Linked DNA regions of Drosophila melanogaster. The protein of the gene in region 3 interacts with the protein of the main gene of each other region in a pairwise test. Each region holds a gene or a part of one and is shown on either strand. Other genes may lie near its edges.

Region 1 (4,778 bases), about 15 Mb from region 3:
ACGTTCGCAGCATGCTGGAGAATTTTGAAGGTAAGTGCGGCTCAGTTGCTCCGAGCAATAGATTGTAATACCGTGTTCTCCTCCAGAAATACTCAAGCTGGCGCGCCGTGAGAGCCACAGCCAGATTTCGAAGACCACGCAGTGCGAACAGGATGCCCTGGAAATGCAGGTCCGCGCGGCCAACATGGGTGAGTAAATCCACTCCCTGGGAACCAGATTCGAGCCATTTCCTTCATGCATTCCGCTTTATAGTCCGTGCCGGCGAGTCTCTGATGAAGCTGGTGGCCGACCTAAAACAGTACCTAATCCTCAACGACTTTCACTCGGTCAACGAGGCCATCACAAACAATTCGCAGCTGTTCAGGAACACACAGAGCGAGTGCGACAAGAAGCTGATGAAACTTAGGGACGAAATGGCCATGGACTTGTACGACCTGGAGGAGGAGTACTACACCAGCATTTTTAAGTAGCGCTAGGAGGGGAAGGGGTTCACCTTATTTGTGATGAACTGGCTTTGGCCGAACTGTAGAATTTAATAAGAAATCATTACCACATTCACTTGTAAATTTTGTTTAGCAAACAGCTAGTCGCGTCGCACTCACAAGACCTGCTCCTGTTCCGCCTCCGAGGACAAGGAGCGACTGTCCGGAGAGGCCGCGCTCAGGCTGTCAACTAGGTCGCCCGTGTAAAAGAGCACCGCCTTCGGGACGATTTGGGTGCGTAGCAGGAAGCCCACTTCGAAATCGTTGCCAAGGATCAGCTTGGTCTTTTCATCCGCGAGCGACAGGTCCAAGGCCTGCGGCGGAGCAAAGAAGCGAAAGAAGGACTCCCGAGGCATGACCTTGGTGACTCGGTGTGCTCTGTTCCTTCGCCTGCTTTCCACCGTTTGGAGAGTGAGATTGGAGCCATCGCGCCAGTGGATGTGGCAGCCTTCGCAACGAACTATTTCGGGCCCTTCGAACAGAAAGGGATACTCCGGGTCCGCCGAGTGCTGCAGAAAGTAGCGCTTCGTGAGCAGCAGCGAGGAATCGTGCAGGAAGCTATTGGGCCGAAACTGAAAGATGACCATGTAGCTGTCCTGGTCGTAAGCCAGGCGCACATCCATTAGGCTCTCCAGAAGCGGCTCGTCGTGATCCTGGACCAACTCCGAGAGCAGGGGCACGTTCTGGAAAACTGTCAGCCAAAAGCGTGGAACACCCAGCGTAGTCGGCGAAACCGGAGCCAGTTTTTGCCTCAGCTGTCGCAGCTCCTCGTTGTTCCCGAAGTCCAGGTACAGAGCATCCTGCGGGTCCTCGGGCCAGGTCTTCTCCGTTTGGATCGGTGGCTCCACCGAACCCTCCAAAATATCCCGCCTCGCATCGAAGAGCGCGCAGCTCTGGCCGTAGAAACGTCGCTCCAGCTCGTAGACTTCCCGGAAGAACTGCTCCGAAATGCGTACCTGTTGCAGCTGATTGTGCCGCAGTGCCCGTATGCGGTTCTGCACGGGCTCCGCCAGCTGGCCGATCATGTGCCGCAGAAAGGCCTTCCGGCTGCGGGCGGGAAGGTCCGCCGGACTCAAAGCCGGCTCTGTGGACTCCTGGGTATATGTGCCCAGGGAGCGCAAGGACCCGCTGATGCCGTCTGCCCTCGACTCCGTGTGGCTGTCTTCCTGGGTAACCCCCTCCGCGCTGTCAGCCATCCCAATCATTGTGCAATTCGGTGCAATAACTTCGAAATTTGGCAACATATATGTATATAAATCTACAAGTATATTCCAGCTCTGCGACTGGGCACTTGGAAACTACTATGCTAGATCAAAGCTGTTCCTTGATTTCCACAGAAACCGGCCTACTACTGGGAACGAAAATTCGGCTGATGATTCCTTGGATTTGCCCAGAAGCAATCGCATTTTTGATTACAATAACTGCGTAATCTAACAAATAATTTCGCCTACGAGGAATACCACTTCAGAGTTACGTGCATAATTAATGAAGGCGAATTCCAGAAACAGTGCATGATTTGCCGAATTCCGGGCAAATCGGTGGCCAATATCTGTCGGCGGTTGCGTTATCGGAGCTACCTGCTCATGAGCCCAGATATGGGCTGTGGACTGGACACTGAAGGGAGGGTCATGCCCGGCACTTATCGGCCCACCATAAGCTGACATTGCGGCAGGTCGGAACCGGACGGCAGCATAATGCTCCATTCAGATCCCGAGCATGGTTTATTTTGTTGGATTGAAGCTATCTGCCCCGCCGCTCGCCTCTTATCTGCGACACCTGGGCACTTGGGCCCAGTCTTGGTGCCTGGTCTTGGGTTTTATTGGCCCGACGGAGCGATAAGTGGGGCCCGTTGTCTTTTGGGTGCCATAAACCGATGGCCCGAATCGCCATTATTTATTGGGAGAAAAACCGAAGTAGCTGTCCAATCTAATCCGTTCGTCTGTCGCATGCTAATTTATGGGCGACTAATCCTCACGGGGGGTCCAATTCCTCCACCAGCGATTCGGTAATCTTCCTCATCGACCCGAGTCCACCAGATTGCAGCTGCACCGGATGGCCTCCAGTGGATATTGCTGTTGGATTGTTGGTTAACTGAATTAGTTTGGACTTACCGATGACATCAGCGCGGCCAATGACTTCAGAATCTCGAATGTCATTCAAACAAAATCTCTTTATTTTGATAGGATGGGTCTCCCCCATACTTTTACATGCTATCTTAAACTGAAAACAAAAACAATTCGTCGGCGTCCTAGAAGATGAAGTCTTCGTCCTGGCCCTCCTCTTCCAGCAACGAGAGGCTTCTCTCGAAGCGCTTGATGTCCTGGTACCAGCCGGGGTCCCCGGACGATATATCCTCCGGCCTGCCGCCCTTGTGGCGGTACAGGAACTCGGCGTGGCCCTGGCCGGGAACTCCGTTGACCGTGCAGGCCACAAACTGGTTGAACACCTTAGACTCCCAGTCGCCGCCGACGTAGCGCAGCGCGGAGGCCTCCACCTGGATTTGCACGAGGTACTCCCGCTCCTCGGTGCGCACAATGAAATTCTGGTGCTGCGGCGGCGTTCCCTTTTCGCCGTACGAGTACAGCTCGAAGTTGCTCCCGGTCAGCGGCTGATACTGCCGCTCGGGGCTGCACACGTAGCCCACCTTCAGGGAGGACAGGAAGAAGGACGGCTGACTGAGGCTGCCCACCACCATGCTGCTGCCATCGTCCATAAAGAGGGCAAAGTACACGTACCGGTTGATGGAGCTTAGGCAGCGCTCGGTGCCGAAGCTGTGGTCCCGGAAGCCCACCATTTTCAGCGCCAGCTCCTTGCCATCGAGCGTGACCTGGCCGGCCAGTTCTCCGTTCTGTTCGTAGTGGGTGCGCTTCTCTACGATGTGGTTGACGCTGCGCAGCAGGCTGTAGAACTTTTCGTTCCAGGCCTCTCTGGCTATGGAGTCGGCTATCAGGGCGCTGCTCAGATCTCTGTTGTAGTCGAAGTGCTCAGCGGAGGAGCTTTCGAAACGGAGGTCCAAGTCCACGGCTACGTCCTGCACGTCCGGCCCTTGAGTTTTCAGCAGTCCGGAGTACTTGAGCCGCCACACACGCATAGATGCCTCCTGGTAGACGTGGAAGCCTCCACCCTGGAACGCGTTGCTCTCCGCTCCATCCGCGGTGGTGAAGTATACCATATCGGGCAGATTCGGCGAACTGAACAGGCCGCTTTCGGGAAGCCACAGGTACAGTGCCGCCTTGAGGACTCCGCGCCTCCTTCGCTCCAAGGTGACCATTAGTTTCTGGCCCTCCTTGTTGGCCGCCATGAAGCTGACCACGTCATAGCTCTTCGGGTCGTTGCTGAGCTGCTGCGGCCTGTCGACCTTGGCCAGGTGCTCCTCGGAGCCGAGCAGCTCCTCGTTCCGACGGTAGATGCGGTACCTCAGGCGGCGAAGGACAAGCAGGGCGATCCAGAACTTCACCCGGTAAAAGATGCCTTTCAGTGGGTACTTGCCGAAGATTAGTGGCGGCTTCAGGCCCAGTAGCTTAAGTGCCACGACCACCAAGGCCGTTAGAATGCCGAAGATCAGCCCGAGCGCTGCGATCATGTTGTGTCCCAAGATGCTCAAAATCTGTTCAAAATTAAATCCTCTTTGGAGTTCCGCGGAATGTCGATCCTCGTCAAAAATGCTCCGTTACCGAACGGCTTGGCCAATTGGACGCGACTGCGAGGCCTGCACTGGACAATGTGTGGGGAAGTGGGTCTTGTGTCCCGCTTATCGCCACTCGATAAGCCGCCACCGTCTAAACCCACTTTTCGGCCCCACCTCCTCGGACTGGGCTTATCGGGTCGGAATCGACGGGCTTTGCGGCGATGCATGACTAGCTCGCTAAATCTGGATCTGTCTGCGCTCGCGATTTCTGATTGATACATTAGCTGGACTCGTCATCGTCATCGTCGCCAGGAGCGGCCGATAGCCAGCTCCAGATAGCCGTGGTGCAGGCTATCTTCTGGTGCAAAGTCTGCTTGCGTAGAAGTTCCACAACGATTGGCCAAGATAAAAAATTGCATAGACCGAGTGCTTCAGCAAATGTGTTCGTGGGTACTTGGATGTGACCCGACTGGATGTAGTGGGGCTCTGGAGCTGACAATCTCGCCAAAAGAGAGATTTTCCAAGTCGATGGATGTGAAAACTAGCTGGAGTGCTGAAACCTAGCCGTTAGAATTCGATTCAAGTGCTTCAAGTGCCAGACTCCCATTGCCAACACTAGAAAATGTCCTTAAGGGACGCGAAGAGCACTTGCCAACACTCGGAAATCG
Region 2 (5,169 bases), on a different chromosome or scaffold from region 3:
TGAACTTTTTCCCAAGGTCAAAGATCAGTTATTGCGACAACGACCCGTCGTTGAAGTCGCACACGATCGTGTCCATGCTTTGTAACAACTTTGATGTAAGCATTACAAACGCACCACTACTAAACAGTACCTCCAACGGACAGGTGGAGCGTTTCCACGTTGCTGGAGCTAACCAGGTGCATAAGGATAGACAAGGGCATAAGTGATACGGTCGAAATAGTAATGTTGGTAACTACCCAATATAATAAGTCGATTCACTCGGTCATCAAAAGGAGACCGGCTGAAATCGTCGTAACGCAACCTGATGAGCCACAGGTAGATTTCCACAATAGGATCCAGAAAGCTTAAACCTAAGGGTCAGAGAAAATGTCTCGCCGCAGAATAGGGTATTCGATGTTAGCGAAGAGATGTAGGTAAAATCCAACCGAAGACTTGGCAACAAGCTCATATGCGAGGAAAGAGCTGTAGAAGCGGACATGGGGACCACAATCCTTATTGAGGAGAGGGTGGTCAAGGACAATTTAAAATAAAGCGCTCAGTAGCAAAGTCCGTGTACCGCTTAATTTTAAATTTTTTAGCAATTTGTAGTAGATCCACGCATATCATATTCTTAAGCATTTTTCTTGTTATTGGGGTTGGGTTCCCCCTTGTCAGCAAAACAGAAAAATTAACCATTTAAACTTTCACCCACTGAACCAATTTTATCCTTCTCGTATATCTATCATTGGCATCGGCACTCATCACCTTTCGCGCGCCAAATACATTCCCATAGTCGACGGCCAGATCCTGGTTTGGAAAAATTCTGCCTATGTGAGGCACTCCGCGAATCTTTCGTAGGGGTCGACGGCACCCGTCATGCCGTCATTAACGGAACCCTGTACGTCAACCAGAACGGGGTCCAAAACAGAGTACCGGGGGTAGCAAAATTCCCTCTGCTGAATGTCACCTCCCAACAAAGCGTGCTCAGTCTACCATACCTTCATAGCCTAAATGAACGTAACTTAATCGCCTGAATGAACATAACTTAAAGACAATACGAAGGTTCAGAGAAGAGGTCAACGCAGAACGCCCCCAGCGAGTGGCACTAATCGTGGCAGCATCATGTTGCCTTCTGTTGTGTGTTGCCATTGTGGGTTGGCGTGCCCAGAAGGCCAGGAAATCCACGAGACGATTTTACGTGGCGTTCGCTGAGTTAAGGGCGGCCGAGGACGGCCTCCATCTTGATGCTTTTAATTTGAATTCTTGTATTCGTTTATTCAGTTATTTTCTAACCTTGTAAGCACTTGCTCTGCTCAATAAAGAGACATTTAAAAGTTACGCCGTCGAATGTTTATTGTGAACGTTCATTTATATAGTGACGTATTTGCGCCACCCAAACCGGCCAATTTCATTAATTCCCTGAACAATAAAGCTGTTAATTGGTTCCCGTACTGTATGCCATCTGCTCAGTATGCGTTTTGATAAACAAATTCATTGGCAACGGAACTTTGCCATTCATGTAAACAAATCCGAAAGCCTAACATTAGAAGTTAGTTCGATTTGTAAAACGGGTACTTTTGTCAAATCTTATCAGATCTTATTTACTAAAGGAAAAAATTGTTTACTCAGTGGTATATTGATGTTTATTGCAAATCACCATAAGATTATTCTGTCACTTAGTTATTTTATACAAAATTTATTGATTTGACAAACAAAAATTTGCCGACATCGGAATTAAAACTGTGAAAAAGGTGGCCTCTCTAATGTCAGGAAAACAGCTGTCCGATAGCAAAACAAAAACCAGAGCACCTTAAAACGCAATTAAACGATTTTGCCCGAATCAAAATCGAAAAAAAATACGATTATGTCTAATAGAACAGTCTATATAGTAAGGTCCATAGAATCGCACATTACACATTCATTATCTTTGAAATCGAAAAATTTAAAAAGTAGCCATGCTTAGGGAAATGGCATCTGTGGGAACAGTGCACATACATTATACACATACACTGTTCGTAAAATACCTATATTTTTATATTTTGCCATCTAAGCAAATTACAACATGCTTCTGATTTTAACGTGTTATTTTAAATGACGATTTCAATCGCTTCAAAACCGGGTCTCTTATAGGTCTGATACGTTGTTGATGCTAATCTGTGAGAAACTCATATAAATTCCATTACTTACGTAAATATTATTCCAAAACAACGTAATATAGTAGTAGACTTGGTTCCGCTGCCTTAGCCTATTCAATAAATAATATAATAATTTCTTAAATTATCCAATGTAAATAGTGGAATCTGACAGTACTTAAATGGCGGACGACTTGCATAATTATAAGCTACAATTGCAACAAGTGTGTATAATTAATTAAATAAAGTATATATTTTGGTGTGGTCTTGGTCAAGATTGTATATGTTTCGCTTATATTCTTTAAGTAAAGACATTTTGTTCAGTCCTTTAAAATAATAGTAGTCAGTAGTCGATGAAGCGCAACTGGAGGATGGCGAGTACTATATGTACATATGTACATATAAACGAAGAAATACAAACCAATTTCCTGTGGATGTCCGGTCCCAATCATTTATATACAAACATCGTTGCCATGTTAGGAGTTTGAAAAAGAATCCAGCTTCGTACTGGAAAACAACTCGCAACTTCGGTGTGAAGAACGGTGACGACTATATACAGAGATATTCTATACAGCTTTCATAACATAGCTTGGATAAATACTATCACTTAAAAATGTTGTGTAAACTATTCCTTGATTTCGTTTGGCTCGTTTATGGCCATGGCCTAGTAATGTTATTATTGTATTCCCCTACTGAATCAAACCAAACATTGGAAATTTATTTGTGCTTTTAAAAAACGTGTATATAAGCCAACCCCTTAAAACAAGCGCTTATGGTAAGCCTGTACATAAAGATTCAGCTTCTGGTTAGAAAGTTTACTTCCTAATGCGTGGCATTTCAAAGATCAGTTTATTGTGAAATGTTCATATATAAATAAACTTTTTTGAATTATTCAATCTACAATGTAATATATTGAAATTGTTGCACATGAATTAAGCAATTATAAATTTAATTTTTAGGTGGAGGCAGCTCTTCAAACTGATCCAGAAAATGAAGAGCTATTAAAACTCAGAAGTGATCTTGACGAAGTTATTACCCTTACTCGTGATTTGATACAAACTCAACTGGAAGAACAAAATAAATCTTCATATGTGGAGCCATCATCAACCAAAAGAGATTCGTCCAACTACTTCGACGAAATAGAAGCAGCTCTATTAGAAGCAGAAAAATTAGTTTCAGCTGCTAAGATTTGGAAAAAAGGAGACAAGTGTCAAGCTAAATGGAAGGAGGATCGTCAGTACTACGATGCAACTATTGAAGATATATCAAGTACAGGAGAAGTTAATGTAATATTCGATGCCTATCAAAATCGATCTACGACCCACGTCAATGAGTTGCGTGAACGTACTATTCGCAACGAAGTTTTTCCGTCAAACAAGTATAAATATTTTAACAGTAAGAGTAATAAATTTCTAAAACGGTTTTTACAGGCGGCACAGGCCCAATCAAAAAGAATATTTAAAAAAACGTAAGCAAAAAAAGCAACAGCGCTTCAAGGACTTGGAAGAGGAACGTGAATCAGACAAGAACAAATGGCTTAATTTTAACAACAAAAACCAAAAAAAAAACGGAATGAAAGCAAGAAGTATATTTGCGTCTCCGGATAATGTAAGCGGCAGAGTAGGAGTCGGCACTTGTGGAACTGCAGGAAAGGGCATGACAGATTTTACTGTGGGTGAAAAATATAGAAAAGGTCTTTAGAATATTATCTATTAAACGGTATAATAAAAAAGGTTCATAAAAATATAAGAAAACAATAATAATAATAATCTTTATAGTGAAATTTATAAATTTACCGGGCATTACCGCTTCGGTAATCGAATTCGTACAAATTTTTCGATTTGATTTTGATATCGCAAAATCGATGGTCCGGTTCTCGTGTGCCGCGTATCATACTGCTCGATTCGCGAGAGGATAGACGCTTCTATATCGTACAGAAATCTAGGAAAAAATATAATATAAAAGAAATATAATAGATATAAATATAAATATAATTAAAATCTAATTATGTGTTAAAAAAGTAAGAGTTGATTGCTTTCGGGTCACGAAGGCGCCAGCAATTCCTGATATATACTTTGTAAACATGCAAACTTTGGAGACAGTTATATAATTTTCTTCGTTATCTAAGTTTTTCTGTCACGATCTCTCTAGTACTCTCGCATCTACACCGTTGGCTTAGTGTTCTGCTGTTCGCTCAGCAATTAAGTCACTCATTATTATGCGCTTTTGCTATCTACGCATATATTCATCGAAGCACAATCTTGCTCGCTAAATCCAATAAAATCTTATAGTTTGAAATCACTACATACAATTCGTGTTTTCATTGCTCAAAATAGCTAATAAAAAGACTATGATTTAGTATTATGATTATGTAGTTTCTAGTGAATTTGCTTGAAACAGGGAAAATGTAGCCGGGACTATCAACTTCACCACGAGTAAGCTTTTTTTTTATCAATTTTTATTTTTTCGGTAGAAGGAGACAATTTTTCCAATATTTTCTGGTTAAGCTTGTTAACTTGGATTGAGCTTCTAACCATAAGAGGCTCACTGCCAGTTGAGAAAGTACCTCCACATGACCAGGTAATTGATCAGCAACCAGCTGCGGTCGAGGCTACTGAAAAATTAACAAAAGCTGTCGTAGGCACAATGGTGACTCCGTTAACGTATTAAAAGGCATCTTCTGAAGCGCCTTTTAAGTTATCTTTCCATAACTTTGCACGCATCTCAATGGGAATAAAATCTGTGCTCTTGTGCATTGATTTTTTTGGCGGTATTTTGCTGGCACCGTTATAATTGGTGACCACTGGTTAAAGAGTGCTATTAATAGCGCAGAGCAGAGATAAATCGTGCAAGCGCGAATAAGCTTAAAAACATAGACTGTTTCAAGCACATGATAAAAAGGCTTGCATACAAATTTAGGCGCCGCTAGGCAAGCAGTAACACGTTTTTTGAACCGATTCAATGAGGTCCGAGTGAACTAAGTATTGTTGACTACAGACTGGTGGACCATATTCAAAAGGCGGACGGACTAGCAAAATGAATAAGGTTTTGATCATTT
Region 3 (4,425 bases):
CTTTCACGAGTAACGGGTATAAAACTGAATATATTTGATAATATTATACTGAAGCTACCAATTTCCGATGCTGTAAATTGCATAATTTATTATGAAATAAAAACACTAATACTTATTATGTCAGCGGAACATAATAAGAATATTTGAGTCTAGAGGTTTTATCTCCAAGGGCATGACAACGCCATGGCAACCCTTTTTGCTTGTGTCAAGAACTCAAAAAAGAAGGCGATGACTTTGCAGTCTACAAGTCACATTTATAATTTGGCGTGAGGACCTCAGTTGATTCACATATCCGAGCGGATAATACTTAACTATTTGCAAAGCACAGCATTTTTAAGATGACCATTTCAAGAAAATGCTTTACGCATACAAGTTGATAGGTTTTCTAAACGAAACAATGAAGTCCTACGATTCTTCATAGAGCTCACCGATTTCATTATTCCGTTCACCGCTCCCGATAGATTCTTCGTTATTTGTAGAGATTTCCAGCGCAAGTCGCCAACAGCTGGCCCATTGACCAAGGCACCCATGCCGGAAGCTTTTTCCGGCAAAAAACCAAAAACAATGAGGAAGCAGCCATGCTGAAGGACCCCATGGCTTGCGGGGATTCAGAGCCGAAGCTTAGCAATGGTAAATCAGTCTGGATCTCCTCTGAAGATAGTAGCGATCCGGATAATGACAAGGTGCCATTGGTGCCATATGAGTCTGATGTGGATCGTCTGCGGCAAAGACTCGCTAGAATGTTTCGGCGATGATTTCGATGGCAATCGTGCTATATATTCATTTGTTTCTACATTTGTACCAATTTTCTAAATAAATCGCAAACTATATACATACGTGCATACTGCACTTCTAATATATTTTCTCTAAATTTTTTCGGGACTATTTTTAAAACATGTTTATTCGTTGTACCTTAAATTTTCATCAAATGGTTGTCTTACAAGAACGTGATATCTTACGCTGCGTTATTAGTCGACAAGAAGGAAGTTGCGCATAATTAATGATCTGCCTGTTCATCGTCCTCCTCCGAGGAAGTTTCTTTCTCGATCGCGTCAGACATGCGCTCTTGCAACTTCTGCTGTAGGTTGGAGTCCTTGACCAGGTGCGCTGGATGGATGTAGGACCTGTTGGGACAGCCGAGCACTGGGCATCGAATACCAATGTTGTCCGTGATGATCAGCATCACCGAGTCGCGGTCGTAGATGTGGCCGCACTTTTTGTTGCGCACGGGGTTCTTTATCAAGGCTTTGGACCAGGGATCGTAGAGCGAGAAGACCTCGCCGCCGGTGGCTTCCATGATAAGGTCCTCGTCATGGGCGGCGCTATTCGCTTGACCATTTGTTTCCGCACCCGCCTGGGGAGCTGCCGCTTTCATGAAGTTTTTGAACTCGGCTGAGTTCTTGACATCGATGCGCTTCTGCTCCACCGCTTCGGAGCGCTCCTTCCAGACTTCCTCGAACTTCTCGATGGTGTTGCTAGAGTTTTTGGCATGCTTCATAGCCTTGCTGAGCAATTGGTGCTTGCTCTTCATTCGGATGAGATTCTCGGCGAGATCCACGTTCTGGTCCAACAACTTCTGGATCTCCCTGCCATCACTGAAATCGGACACGACTGTGGGTAGGTTTTAAAGATGTCTCAGTGTGTCGCATGGCTTACCTTCTGCCATTTCTTTGAAGAACTTTTGGTTTTCCAATAAAGTGGTAAGTGCCGAATCCACATGGTAATTGAAGTCCATTTTAAAGCCCAGATTCTATGCAGACGCTTTGCAAATTGCAAATCCAGAATATTTGGATCCAAATGTTCAAGACTGACGCTTAGCTAGGTTCAGCTAGGACCGATAAGTTCGATAGGCAGCCTAACGAGGGTGTAATCGGTATTTGGCGAACTGTTAATAATCGTGGTGTATAAGCATGGATTTTATGCCTGAAATTTAAGTAAAATAAATGTGCGTCAAATTAGCGACTCTAAAATAAAATGTAAAATGAGTTAACTTAGAGTGACCATATCCCCAACATACGGTCTTATCCACCCGCGAGCTATCGCGGTTATCGGTGTTATCGGCCAATGTCAACCTGGATAACGAGCGGCGGCCAACTTTTCAGTGTGCCAAACGCCGAGCAGACGGACGAGCAGCGCCAGCGCGACCGCCACTGCCACCAGTTGCTGCGGACCAATCCAAGTCACAACCAATCCGCTCCGATCCGATCCCAGCCAACGAGTGCCAGCTGTGCGCCCCAGCTGCAGCTACACGTGTCCCCAGGGTGAAAGCGCTATCCAAGATGCGGACGCACGGACTACGGTTGGTGCTCTTGGCCCTGCTGCCCACGATGGCCCTGGGCCTGCTAGAGGGCCTGTACTGTGGCAAGGAAAACTGTTACGACGTGCTGGGCGTCACCAGAGAGTCGTCCAAGTCGGAGATCGGCAAAGCATACCGCCAGCTGGCGAGGCGCTATCATCCAGATCTGCATCGGGGTGCCGAGGCCAAGGCGGCGGCGGAGACGCAGTTTAAGCTGGTGGCCACCGCCTACGAGATCCTGCGCGATGAGGAGTCGCGCACGGACTACGATTACATGCTGGACAACCCGGATGCATACTATGCGCATTACTATCGCTACTACCGGCGACGCGTGGCGCCCAAGGTGGATGTGCGCGTGGTTATCGTGGTCGTCCTAACCATTGTGTCCGTCATCCAGTACTATTCCGGCTGGCAGCGCTACGATTCTGCCATCAAGTACTTTGCCACGGTGCCCAAGTATAGGAACCAGGCCCTGGAAATAGCTCGCGACGAGATCCAGGAAAAGATCCAGAAGAAGGGCAAGAATCGTATGTCCAAGAACGATCAGCGCGATGAGCTGGAACGGATCATCCGGCGGGTGATCGAGGAGAAGATGGACGTTAAGGGCGGCTATGCGAAGCCGACACTCTGGGATGTGCTGTGGGTGCAGCTGATCATCTGCCCCTACACGATACTCTCGTTCATCGTGTGGCACGCTCAGTGGTTCTGGCGCTACACGGTAATGAAGCAGCCGTATGGCCGCGAGCAGAAGCTCTACCTCATCCGCCGGCACCTGGGCATGGGCCAGCATCAGTTCGAGGCGCAGGAGGACAAGCTGATCGAGGAGTACCTGCATCTGAAGCTGTGGAAGCGCGAGAACTTCGTCGCCTGGAAGGCAGAACAGGAAGAGGAGATGAAAAAGAAGCTGGCGGAGAATCCACGATACAAGGCGTACAGGCGATACATGAAGAACCACGGACCCGGCCGCATCACCTTTGAGGATTAGCCGCTGCTCTGCGATGTTCAAGTTTCATTGTTCCATCTAAAAGTCTGTTGTGTGCGTGTTGTAAAACCGATCCCAAATTCCTCGCCCTCGGCATCCCCATACCGTCTAAATTTTGATACATTTATATATATATATTTAGAAATTTTTTGTACACCAACTATATCAATATGAATTATGTTAATGTCCCGGTGTTGTCCGCCAAAGGGCGAAACGTTGACCCCGCCGGAGCGATCCGCCAAAACCGGTTCAAGAACGTGGCCACGTTCGGTACGCGTCGGCACAGTGTCCACTGGCTGCCGTGAACGAACCATCCTAGAACAATTATACCCCTACCTGGCTGGTCACAAAAAAAGCACGCCACATTCGCGTGTTTCCTAACTAACTTGACTAAACCGATTACTGTAATAAACTAGATAAAATTCAAACGTCTCTCTTACTGGTTGTTCACTGTGCCTGGTTTGCACAGTTGTTCTGGATGGCCAAAAATTCGATCTCGTGGCATTTATTCGCTCTAAACAGCATCTCTCCGTGCTTTTGTTTACACAGTTTGCTTAGAAACAATTTCGTTTTTTATTGTTTCTTGGTTTGGTGCGGTTGCTGAAAGTTAAACTTAAGTACGTGCTTGAAAATAAGCTGAAGAGTAAAGAAGTCTAGATTTTTCAATGGTAGCCTTCAAATAAAGTTGATTTGTTTTGCGAAATGCTGACTTTAGTTTCGGATACATGCGTGTGGCTCTTGCATTTCGCTATTCGCAGTTCACGTATACCAATTTTTATTTAAACATGTCTTCAAAGTCCTCAATTTGTTTAAAGTAATATAACAGCATAAGGTAGTGAAATAATAAGCATTTATTACCTTATCATTTCTTCTAAAGAATCAAAGTCCTCAAGTTGTTTAATGTAATATAATAGCATAAAATAATAAACATTTACAATCGTATAATTTCTTCTAAAGAATCAAAGTCCTCAATTTGTTTAAAGTAATATAACAGCATAAGGTAGTGAAATAATAAGCATTTATTACCTTATCATTTCTTCTAAAGAATCAAAGTCCTCAAGTTGTTTAATGTAATATAATAGCATAAAATAATAAACATTTACAATCGTATAATTTCTTCTAAAGAATCAAAGTCCTCAATTTGTTT
Region 4 (4,838 bases), on a different chromosome or scaffold from region 3:
TGACCTCCCGACTAAAGAATGCTCTGGCCAACTCGCCCCAGCGTCTGGATGGGGACACACCCCTTCAGGCTGAAAAACTGAGACGGCTGCTGGCCAAATCCGAAGAGCATGGATTTAATAAAGCCGTAGGACGACAGGGTCTCTCAATTGTTAACCGTACTAATGTTTTGTATTCCAGGAGAGCCTGAAAATTGCCTTTGCCGAGGGCTACTTGGCCGCCGCTAACTCGGAGGACTCTCCAAAATCAGGAAAAACTATGAAATATCTGAAGGTACGAGTTTAAATTCATTCAAAGTGTACCATGATTACTTTGAAAACCACAGAAGGCCTTGGTCTTCTTTAGTGTTATAAATAAATTCTAGTAATTGTCACGCAGACTTTGCAGACTATCGTCGTTATCGTCGTGTTCTTGGGCATTTTCCTGAGCTTCTTTACAACCTCCAATGGATCCGTATTTCGGTGAGCCTCCACGTTATTAGTTTTGCTTTACCCATCTGATATGCCTTTCTTTCAGCAGCATACAACTGGGCAACCAGGTTGAAGTGGACCCTGAGGAGATCAACGTCACTTTTGAGGATGTCAAGGGTTGCGACGAAGCCAAGCAGGAGCTCAAGGAGGTCGTTGAATTCCTGAAGAGTCCGGAAAAGTTCTCAAATTTGGGCGGAAAGCTTCCAAAGGGAGTGCTCCTGGTTGGCCCGCCGGGTACTGGCAAAACACTGCTGGCCCGTGCCGTCGCCGGTGAAGCCAAAGTTCCTTTCTTCCATGCTGCCGGACCGGAGTTCGACGAGGTGCTCGTAGGCCAAGGAGCCAGACGAGTGCGTGATCTGTTCAGTAAGTAGATTTCAATTATCCAAAGTGCTCAACTAAACAAGAACATCATCTTGCAGAGGCAGCAAAGGCCCGTGCCCCTTGTGTTATCTTCATTGACGAAATCGACTCGGTGGGCGCCAAGCGAACCAACTCTGTGCTGCATCCTTACGCCAATCAGACCATCAATCAGCTGCTCTCCGAGATGGATGGCTTCCATCAGAACGCTGGCGTCATTGTTTTGGGAGCCACCAATCGTCGCGACGATTTGGATCAGGCTCTGCTGCGTCCCGGCCGATTTGATGTAGAAGTCATGGTGTCGACGCCCGATTTCACTGGACGTAAGGAGATATTGTCTCTGTATCTGACGAAGATTTTGCACGATGAAATAGACTTGGACATGCTGGCGCGCGGCACCTCTGGTTTTACTGGAGCGGATCTGGAAAACATGATTAACCAAGCGGCGTTAAGGTAAGGAATAACTTGTGTTGTATTATTCAATCACAATTTTGAAGAGCGGTACTAATAATTCTAACATTTTGGCAGAGCTGCCATCGATGGAGCCGAAACGGTCAGCATGAAGCATTTGGAAACGGCACGAGACAAAGTACTTATGGGACCCGAGCGCAAGGCTCGTCTACCGGACGAGGAGGCCAACACCATAACCGCTTACCACGAGGGCGGCCACGCGATTGTGGCCTTCTACACCAAGGAGTCGCATCCGCTGCACAAGGTGACCATCATGCCCCGCGGACCCTCCCTTGGACACACCGCCTACATACCGGAGAAGGAGCGTTACCATGTCACAAAGGCACAGCTGCTGGCCATGATGGACACCATGATGGGCGGTCGTGCTGCTGAGGAACTGGTCTTCGGCACGGACAAGATTACGTCGGGAGCCAGCAGTGATCTCAAGCAGGCAACCTCGATCGCGACGCATATGGTCAGGGACTGGGGCATGTCGGACAAGGTCGGTCTTCGCACCATCGAGGCGTCAAAGGGTCTGGGCACCGGTGACACCCTTGGTCCCAACACCATTGAAGCCGTGGACGCGGAGATCAAGCGCATCCTCAGCGACAGCTACGAGCGGGCGAAGGCTATCCTGCGAAAACACACCAGGGAGCACAAAGCGCTTGCGGAGGCGCTTCTCAAGTACGAGACTCTTGACGCCGACGACATCAAGGCAATACTGAATGAAAGCCAGACGTAGTTCCCCCATCGGTGTGGTTTGATGGTGTTCAAGGATCCAATTGGAAGGCCGGGTTGGTCTGCCACCGGACATTCAGCTGAACTGCTAAATATTTTTAGTTACAATATACATATATAAAAAACCGGAGAAAAAAACCAAGCAAGAGCGAGACGCAGACGGACAGTTAAGAAATAAAATGTTACACATATTCAGTTATGTTTTCCATCATTCACGTTAGAATTAAATATTAGTTTGAGTAATAAATTAATTTGAAGTGGAATCCACATATTGTTTGCGCGCCCATATCGATGTGACCAGACTACTGCAACCTATGTTAGAAACCATTTTCTAGAACTTAAGTTATAAATATATTTTCAATGTTAAAGACATAATTAACAAATATAGTTTTGATCACATTTTTTGTGGAATCCATTCCATGCTCATCCATTTTAGTATTTTTCATTGTATATTTGACGTTTGCGGTATATTTGAACAGCTGCGTCGCGGTCACACTTTCTAGCTGTCGAATTTCCAATTCATGTTTTATTTTTTGCCGAATAAATTGAGATAATATTCTGAGAAAATGTGCGACTACAAGGTCTCGGAGCGGGCGTACGCCAAGTTGATATTCCACGCGGCCAAGTATCCACACCAGGCGGTCAACGGACTCTTGCTGGCCGAGAAGACATCGAAGGGCTCCCAAGTGGAAATCGTGGATGCGATTCCGCTTTTCCACCAGTGCCTGTATGTCACCCCCATGGCGGAGGTGGCCCTCATGCTGGTAATTACCAATTGCCCTTCCTAAACTCACATCACGAGGGGCTCGGTGCATTTGTGTCCGGACAGCAATGTGGTGCGCCCCATAATGGAACTATTATGGCTTCAATTTGTATCTAGATCCTCGCACCCTGGCCAAACACTCCGCTATCCAAAAGATATATAACTATTCTAACTTATTGCGGCTGCATAGTTATCCAGTGTTGTGCTTAGAACAGAAAGGTTTATGTTCCAAGCGATCTTTATTTAGTAAAATGTACCTTGTACCCCACGATGGTATTTTAATATTAGCATATCAAATTCAAAAACTAGTGTCACACCACTTTTACCCTGTTAGAAGTTTATTACCCAAATTAAACTAGCAGTCTTAAAGCATTGAAGTTGTGAAGACTGAATTAAATTTAAAAGCCGATAAGGTTGTACCATTGTTTAAATTAAAACATTTTATAAAATAACGATAATAATACATTACCTTACACTTTCAGATCGATGCCCACGCCGAACGGGAAGGATTAGTAATCGCAGGCTACTACGCAGCACCGGAGAACTTCTACGACAACCAGGTCGACAAGACCCCAGCCGCCAAGATAGCTGACAAGATCCAGGAGAACTTCAAGAACGCCTGCTTTGTGGTGGTGGACAACAAACTGATGACGCTGCAGCACGACCGAGCCGCCATCCAGGTATTCAACTGTCCCGGAGACTCTGGAGCAAGGTGGTCAAAGGCCAAGTTTACGCTCTCACAGGCGTCCGATACATTGGAAGGCGTGTCGCTGCTGCTGAAGCGCGGAGCCATGCGGGATTTGGTTGACTTTGACAACCATCTAGATAATCCGGACAAAAACTGGACCAACGACTTCCTGAATCAGCCGCTCAACGATCTGCAGAAACTGTACTAGTCGTCCGTTTCAAACGTACGTTTTTTTTTTAGTCTAGCAAAATCGCATTCGAGGGAACATGCCGGAATTTCAACCTTGCAATTTAATTTATTGTAATTACATTTGGATTTCAGTAATCTTTAGAATAATGCATATAAGTTAAATAACATTCAACTAATTAATAAATAATCAATTCTTTCATCATGTTTTGAGTCAAATGTTGTCTGCAGTCCGAGTCCGTCTGTTGGTGCACCTATTGTAATATCCTTTTTAAGTCCGGTCCGGTCCGGTTCTGTTCTGTTTATTGTGTTGAGTAAACCTAAGCGCGTTACAATTATCGTTAATAAATACAGATGAATAATATGTATATAATTTTGCTTTTGGTTTGTCTGGCTTGTAAATTGAAATATTTTACAATAATATTGTAATATCGCGATTGCTGATTATACATAGGTATACATAATACGTACTTATGTGGATATATCGGAGATCGAAAGTATCGCAAAAACGTTTATTTATATAATTTCAGTGTATTGTATATTTTCATATTATCTGATCGAACGCATAACGAACTCTTTACACCGTACACTAAACGTATAGGGGACCGGGACTACGAATCACTGATCACGGATCTCTGATCACCAACGGGATGCCATCCTGAGCACCTTACTCGTATTTGATTTGCCAGTTATATGCTATATGCTTCTGTAGTTCTGTGTATAAGGAGTATGCTTTGGGCTTGTATATAATATCTTTTGCTTGATTGAGTTATGTCTCTTGTTGGTTATTTTTCACCCAGTGTCCGCTGGAAGGGATGGGCAGGTGTGGGTGTGGCTGTGGTCGTGGTCGTGGGCATGACATGGGGGAATCTGTTCTACGTGGGGCGCCTTTTGATTATATCCTAGCTATACAAGAGCGCCTGAACACGCAAGCATAATCAGTATGTAAGAGTATGAGGCATATTTCGCTCGGACTCTTTCTCAGTCCACATCGTGATATATCTGGGTTGGTGTGTCTTGTGTTCCGTCACCACATGCTATGTTAGTTGATCTATAAGAATGCAATAGAGAAGTCATGTATCAGTGGGATGCTGTGGGGGAATGGCTAGGGAAGAACACCCAAACGAAAGATGCACTGCAATTTGGAAAACTCTAGTAGTGTACGATTCTACATGGACGTGTGCGAGT

The links.
Region 1: the proteins of cerv (region 3) and CG3708 interact in a two-hybrid assay, tested with the Drosophila melanogaster proteins (one large-scale study listed by BioGRID).
Region 2: the proteins of cerv (region 3) and Spf30 interact in a two-hybrid assay, tested with the Drosophila melanogaster proteins (one large-scale study listed by BioGRID).
Region 4: the proteins of cerv (region 3) and EMC8-9 interact in a two-hybrid assay, tested with the Drosophila melanogaster proteins (one large-scale study listed by BioGRID).

Annotation. Positions count from the first base shown.
Region 1 is NC_004354.4:928,298-933,075, forward strand, and holds CG3708 (uncharacterized protein), read right to left. Parts: upstream 1,802-4,778; 5' UTR 1,688-1,801; coding exon 599-1,687; 3' UTR 501-598; downstream 1-500. Other genes in the region: MED22 (mediator complex subunit 22), read left to right, coding at 1-30, 87-188, 253-470; CG3706 (uncharacterized protein), read right to left, coding at 2,731-4,065.
Region 2 is NT_037436.4:23,712,832-23,718,000, forward strand, and holds Spf30 (splicing factor 30), read left to right. Parts: upstream 1-2,191; 5' UTR 2,192-2,293; coding exon 2,294-2,335; intron 2,336-2,459; exon of another isoform or gene 2,460-2,883; coding exon of another isoform or gene 2,884-2,886; intron 2,887-3,070; coding exon 3,071-3,489; intron 3,490-3,541; coding exon 3,542-3,812; 3' UTR 3,813-3,858; downstream 3,859-5,169.
Region 3 is NC_004354.4:15,576,155-15,580,579, forward strand, and holds cerv (cervantes), read right to left. Parts: upstream 2,018-4,425; 5' UTR 1,736-2,017; coding exon 1,657-1,735; intron 1,612-1,656; coding exon 998-1,611; 3' UTR 832-997; downstream 1-831. Other genes in the region: CG7872 (uncharacterized protein), read left to right, coding at 2,280-3,281.
Region 4 is NT_033778.4:22,880,341-22,885,178, reverse strand, and holds EMC8-9 (ER membrane protein complex subunit 8/9), read left to right. Parts: upstream 1-2,488; 5' UTR 2,489-2,579; coding exon 2,580-2,777; intron 2,778-3,258; coding exon 3,259-3,672; 3' UTR 3,673-3,857; downstream 3,858-4,838. Other genes in the region: YME1L (YME1 like ATPase), read left to right, coding at 1-125, 179-271, 377-459, 515-831, 888-1,278, 1,354-2,017. UniProt on the Drosophila melanogaster protein: Part of the endoplasmic reticulum membrane protein complex (EMC) that enables the energy-independent insertion into endoplasmic reticulum membranes of newly synthesized multi-pass membrane proteins like rhodopsins.